Linked DNA regions of Kluyveromyces lactis. The protein of the gene in region 2 purifies or fractionates together with the protein of the main gene of each other region. This does not show direct contact. Links are inferred from orthologs where the notes say so. Each region holds a gene or a part of one and is shown on either strand. Other genes may lie near its edges.

Region 1 (4,428 bases), on a different chromosome or scaffold from region 2:
AAGCCTAATGAACGAAGAAAACAGTAGGATATTCATCTCATATTACTTTAAGAATCATTCGAATAGAGCGGATAATATTTTCAGGCGTTCTTGTTCATCCAAGTTCTTCAGAACTCTACCCAATGAGTTGTCATTCGACTGCTGTGTACTTTTGAAAAACTGCACTAATATTTCTTTGAGTTCCATATCGATAACACGACCAGTAAGTAATACCACATCATCATTTAGTTGTGACACGTAGTCCTCTTCATAATCTTTGGGGGTTATGTCGTTTTCTTCTTCTTCTTCTTCTTCTTCTTCTTCTTCAATATCAGTTTGTCTTGTCAATTCATCCGCAAACATCTTTACAATATACTCTTTAAAAGGTCTTACCACGCCATCAGATTCATCATGATATGAAGACCGAGTAAGCCTCTGGTCGTTAGAAAAAAAGAGTTCAGATAGTGATAATGCCACTTCCTTCAACATATTTTTGCTGCGGTTTTCTTCAAAGCAATCAAATAACTCACGGATTAACTTATTAGGTATTGATTCTTCCGCAGAAATAGGTATTGAGAAGATATATGCAAGGAAACTTTGAATATCTTTTAAGATAACCTCACAGGATATTATTATAAAACTGTCGACTGGATGCAGTTTATTAGGGTCCACTAACTTGGAGATTGTATACTCCATAATCTGCCCTATAAATCTGTTTTCATGTGGCTGTGTAACTCTTAGTGAAAGCAACATTATAGGAGCAACATCAATGGTTTTATAAAGTGACCTCTCAGGATCAAATACTAAAGAGCATAAGTCGAACATTGAATCTTTCCAGAACTTAGGATTAGAATTACAAGCCAAATAAACAAAAGCCTGCAAGGCAGTCTCGGCGATGTTTTCATCAGGACACTGTTTGATAAACTGCACAATTGGGTTGAGAACGTATTCAGCCACTTCATCAGAAATATGGTTTCCCACCGGTGGATTCTTCAGAAATACTGAGAGAAATTCTAGTGCAAGGACAACCAGTGGTGAATAAGTTTGTTGGCTTTGTAAGAACGTTGACATAGCTTCTATAAAACTTGGGAAACAGCTTTCACAAAGTCTAGTGTAATCTGTACAATTGATATCTCTCAAGAGATAAGGAAGTGACCGGACAGATTCAAAGACTATTCTCACATTGGATGGTTCACTTGAGGATAACTTCAAAAGCAAGTTCAAAATTTCTTGTTTAGTATGAAGATCCTGTTGGAAATGCCAAGTTTTGACAATTTCGTGCATTGCTTCAAGAAGAAGACCAAGAGAATCTTCTTCACTATCAACATAAAGAGTTTTAATTGCCTTTAGCAACGACTGTTGCAAAATCATAGACGTTTGGTAATCAAGAATACTGCCAAGTTCAGCGAATGAGGTGTAATAAGTGAATGATATGACTAACGATGCCAAAAGAAAGTCGTCTTCAGCTGAAATTGTACAATTAACTGTCTTCACAAGGAATTGTTGCACTAACTGTTTGATTTCAGGTAAAGTTTCCATGTTATTCTCGAAGAACTTGGGTATTGTTAATATAGTTCTTGATTTCACAAATGTAGGACAGGCATCATCATCTAGAATCATCACGGCCAAAGATAAGAAATCCTGATATCTTGGAACATTCATGCTTGTCTCGTTGGAGCATAATTCTTGGAATAAGAATAGACACGCTTCTTGGTACTGTGCCTCATTTGAAGTGACTTGTAGGCATTTTTGCAATACGGAATCAGTGATGTGACGATATATCTCGTCGCTGCAGCTTGAAACATATTGGCCAATTTCATCTCTGGCATTATATGAAGCTGATAATCCAGTTTCTTTAGAAATAAATTCATTGAAGTCTGACAGTTTAAAGTAGTCTTCAGGAAGCAAACACAATTTGATGAAATCTTCTGTGAAATCCGGTAATGTGGGATTTTCTATAAGATCTGATGGGATGTATGCAAGATATTGGACGGTATTGATACAACTGGAGTTAATTATCTCTAACCTTAGTTCGTCGTTATTTGTGAGAGCTCTGGCATAGCTGTTAGCATTTGACTTGATAGCATCCAAAGTTATTCGTAGTCTATATGATAAATCTCCATTAGAACCCAAAATGCTCTGATTGAGGTCGAATAATTTACTTAATGCCATAAACAGTTCTCCTTTGAGTCCAATTACTTCAGATTCCATATTATTTCCATAGCTTTCTAATAACTTATCGATGCAGTCATTCATAGCTTTTAAGTGAGGAATGAGCCACTCGCTCATAAGCTCAGATGTAACAAACATTGAAACGTTGCGTAATTGAGATATGCAATGGTGGTATAGTTGTAAGAGTTTCGATTTCGCTTGCAAACGCAAAGTATCGTCATTTAATGCTAACAAAACCGTATTTACTATCTTGGCTCCCGAATGGTTATCGAAAAACATCTCATTTGTAATAATATCTTGAACAAGTTCCGTCAGTAGGCTGATGGCATTTTCTGAATGATAATTTAGAATATTCTCATTCAAATAATCTAACAATCCAGGCCATTCATCTGGGAAGTCAACAGCGCAAATCTGAACAATGCAATAAGTTACAGTAGAGATAACCTTCTTCTCGGTATCTTCGTTTGCAAGTAAACTTAAAAGACCTCGCCTTACTAGATCTTTCCCTTGTTCGCCCACACCTGGCGGTCCAACAAATGAGGGAAAACCTGCGGACCAATACATAGTAGTGAACTTTCTTAAACACAATAAAGCCAGTTGCCTGGTACTGGCTGAAGCATTGTTATTAGTAGCTGTATCAATCAACTCGATAAAAGTGTCGGGTGGATCTGTAGCACAACGTTCTAGTAAACTGTTCTCTGCATCTTCTCTTTCTTCTTTCTGTGGGGACTGAATTCCTTCCAATAAATAAGGAATAGACATCTGACAATCAATCAGTAATGGAAATTAGCGTATTTACCAGCTTTGTCGGCAACTTGAAACTAATAGTAGAGTTATAAGAGGTTGCTGTTCGGATTATTTTTTCATTAACACTCATAATTTATTCGGATTTGGTAAAGAGATGAGCATATCCCAGTCTTTTTTTTTCCTGTTTCAATTCAATGCTGGAAATATTGAAGGTTGACAATTACCTCAATGAAATTTAAAGGTCGATTATATGAGGAGAATCTACCAAGATACGTATTAGTTCATCATTATAGCAGGTGTTATCGTCTTGTTATCATATTTGATTTGCACATTGCTGAACCTTGAAAAATATATTACTTATTCCTGGTGAACTTAGATAGTATTAAGGTTGCTAGTGATATAAAATAGGACAACATGACTGAGGGAGCATCATTAAAGGAACAATTGCTTGATGCATCTAGAAGAAATAACGCAGATTTGTTGAATGCTGTTCTTGAAACATTGGATGGTGATAAACAGGCTATCCAGTCTTTAATAAATGATTCTAAGGACCCTTTGGGAAACACAGCCATCCATTTGTGCAGTAAGTATGGATCGTGGGATGTTCTAGATGTACTATTGGATCAAGAGGGGGTTGATGTCAACCAGCAAAATTCAATTGATGGCGATACCGCACTACATTTATGTGTAAATTACTCTCACGATGAACCAGAATATGGTACATTTATTGCTGAAAACTTGATAGAAGTTGGTGCCGATCCAAGGATAAGAAACAAACGCGGGCAGACTCCGCTGCAACTGGTTCACAGTGATGAATTGGAATCTTTGGTAAATCTATTGCAAGGTGCAGAAATTGCAGCGGACAACAAAGGTAAAATAATTAACGAAGAAGATGCAGAAGAGATCGACGATGGCCCAGAAGATGACTAGTACGTATCTATATAGTTTCCCTGGTCTCTCTTTATAAGTTGAAACAGATAAAAACGTTATTCTTTTAAGCTACTTCAGATTTCGAAACACTGCATGGTGCGATTGTCATATGCAATTATCTCTGCAGGTTGATATCCAGCCACTAGCAGAGAGCGTGGCTTTCGCTTTGGAAATAATGTGGTTTCGATCAACAACGCTTGATTTGAAGCCATAGTAATCCGTATCAGAGGGCATGGCTTTTATCTTTTTGAAGGCAGACCACTGTGCACATCTACTGATAATTGATTGGCAACCTTTTCGAAGTGGTTTCTTGCCTTTGACATAGAATCCATTTTTGACCCCATTTAGTATTACCTCTGATACTGCTTCGTTCGAGCCATATAACGATACACAAGAACTCAAAGAAGGTTGTTGAGATAAGTTGGTTCGATCAGCAGAAAAAGTCTCATTACAAAATAAAAACTTAAAGGGCAAGAATTGCTGATTCTTTAATCTTAACCAAAATGTATCTTCTAACTGTACTTGCTCGTACTGGTACTGCTTTGGCAGAACAATCCATTCTAAATATACAGGTGATTGCAGAAGTGACCAGGTTAAAGC
Region 2 (2,397 bases):
ACAGGTCACTCAAGATATTGCTTTTTTACAATCGGAAATCGAAGAACTGAGATCAACGACTAAGACCCAAAGCGACCAAATAAAATCATGTCAAAGTCTTAAGGAAGAACTAAAATTAATTCAGTCAAAACTCTCCTCACATAAATGAAAATACAAAAAGGATATTGGACCACCGATATTCTAACGGAACAAACTTGTATATAGTCCTATTCTGGAATGAATAAGTATTTGAGTATAGACGTAAACACAAGCTCTAATATTAACAGGTCATGAGTAAAAGTAGGAATTGGATTATAGATGTTACATATACATAACTGTTTAATAAAAATATGGAAATGGAATAGATGAGGGTTAAATTGCACTTTTGATATTTTGAGATAAGATAATGCGGTGAATTAGTAGTGTACCATCACGACAAGGGAAAAGAGAGGGGGGGGAAGTGGAGATGAAAATATACAACCCTTCACCCTGGGATATGATTACAGTTAGAGTCAAAAAGTAGAAGAAATATAATAATGAAATAACAATAGAGAGCTGTTTTTAAGCGCTTAGTCTCATTAAACTTCATTCAAATTGATACAATTTTCACGCTTCATTTATGCTTCTTTTCCACTTTCAACAACAAAGCCTTGTTGATATGAGGTAGAACACCACCAGAAGCGATAGTGGCTCTGATCAAGGAGTCTAATTCATCATCACCTCTGATAGCAAGTTGTAAATGTCTTGGGGTAATTCTCTTCACCTTCAAATCTTTAGCAGCGTTACCAGCCAATTCCAAAACTTCAGCAGTCAAATACTCAAGAACAGCAGTCAAGTAAATAGCAGCCTTGGACCCAACACGGGTTCTTCCAGCAGCATTTCTCTTCAAATAACGCTTCACTCTCCCAACCGGAAACTGAAGACCAGCTCTAGCAGAATGTGATTGTGATTTCAATGAACCACTGTCTTTGGCTCCCGACTTACCCTTTCCACCGTGTACTTTTCCTGACATGTTGTTTCTCCTATAATAACTTTAATATGCTCTTTCTTGCAATGTCTGATCGTATATATCTCAAACTTGAAAGCAAACAGCAGATTCTATCTTTTCTTAGTCCCTCTGGTCCAATATTCAACTTATGTGAAGTTAAGTTAAGTTAAGTTGATATCGATTTGTTTTTGTTTGTTTTGATGTTTATTTTTTATTTTTATTTTTCTGTCTGAAAGTTTCGTGTTTCCTCTCTTACTTTCATATTGTGAGATTTGCTACAAGTAATAAGATTTGGGGTAAGGGCTAGGAAGAACCGGGAGGGACGAAGGTATTTGAAATAATGAAGATATACAGGCATCGACATGTCTGGAGTTGTCAAAGGTGAACATACGGTTTGATTGGTCTAGCTTTGAAGTGCAGTTTGCCGCTTTCTTGATTTTTTTTTTTTTGCCGCCTGCTATTCTACCGGTTGTTTTTTTTTTCCTTTTCCCTCAGACGAGACAGCATGGCAGGGTAACTATTTATGAACTCGAGATGCTTGCAACCTTGTACCCTTAAAGAGCGTAGGAGCCACTGATGGATTTAAGAAACGTTCCGGCTCATTTCGAAGAACATATGGTAGTGGTGTTACTGCAATGATGGTATTTTCACTGTGTGTCCCCTTTAATTTTAAATGAGGGCCGGAATTCGTTTTTCGAATGGAATAGTAAAAGGGCTTTAAAGTGAATGCTTGACAACTGAGCATTTTCAGTTAGACTAATGTTCCAATTTTTGTACGTGCATCCGAAAATTTGTCTGTATTGCCAGCCTCTTTTACCTCCTTTCCTCCAACTAATAGGGGCTTCATGCAGCGTCTATTATAGGGGGAAGGGCATTTACTTAACAAAATTTTTGGAAACCCTTTGATAATAATGCACTTGTACCATTTCTTAGGTGCGTCGTTACTATGGTAATACATAGATTGTATTTTCCGTGCGTTTTTTTAGACATTTTTTTGCGGGCATGCGTGATGAATTCTAACTATAACAATCCTACACACTTTGCGTGAAGAAAAGTGGAAAATATAGAAGTTTAAATGCTCAGCTAATATTTTGTCATAAATCAATAAACTATGGAACCTGGTGAATATATAACAATGCTACCGTTTCTCTCATCTACATCTTGAGTCCTAACTCGACCCAATTAAGTTGATTTCCAAGTCCATAACTTAAAGCAGTTAAACAATCAGCTTTTACGATAGAAAGTCCACACTCGGTAAAATCAAACGATTATTTTATTGAATCTTTTGGAGTGTGTCACTTCTGTACATAGTATTATCGTGAAGGGCGCAGACATCAACTCTGAGTTAGGTTATCTATAGAATTGTTCCGAGTTAAAGATTAGTTTATTCCTTTTCTGATGTGGTTTTTGAACTCAGTTAATCTGTTGTT

Evidence for each region.
Region 1: the proteins of HTZ1 (region 2) and KAP114 purify together in Saccharomyces cerevisiae (affinity purification with mass spectrometry; 5 studies listed by BioGRID, with this or other methods). This does not show direct contact. The link is inferred for Kluyveromyces lactis from reciprocal best matches to the Saccharomyces cerevisiae genes HTZ1 and KAP114.

What each region holds. Positions count from the first base shown.
Region 1 is NC_006037.1:74,835-79,262, reverse strand, and holds KAP114 (karyopherin KAP114), read right to left. Parts: upstream 2,914-4,428; coding exon 55-2,913; downstream 1-54. Other genes in the region: ankyrin repeat-containing protein ANK1, read left to right, coding at 3,313-3,828; TAD1 (tRNA-specific adenosine deaminase), read right to left, coding at 3,934-4,428. UniProt on the Saccharomyces cerevisiae protein: Required for nuclear protein import and mediates docking of import substrate to distinct nucleoporins. Serves a receptor for nuclear localization signals. Mediates the nuclear import of TATA-binding protein (TBP) and of histones H2A and H2B.
Region 2 is NC_006039.1:522,403-524,799, forward strand, and holds HTZ1 (histone H2AZ), read right to left. Parts: upstream 992-2,397; coding exon 593-991; downstream 1-592. Other genes in the region: KLLA0_C05896g (OPA3 family protein), read left to right, coding at 1-148; PLB3 (lysophospholipase), read left to right, coding at 2,366-2,397. UniProt on the Saccharomyces cerevisiae protein: Variant histone H2A which can replace H2A in some nucleosomes. Nucleosomes wrap and compact DNA into chromatin, limiting DNA accessibility to the cellular machineries which require DNA as a template.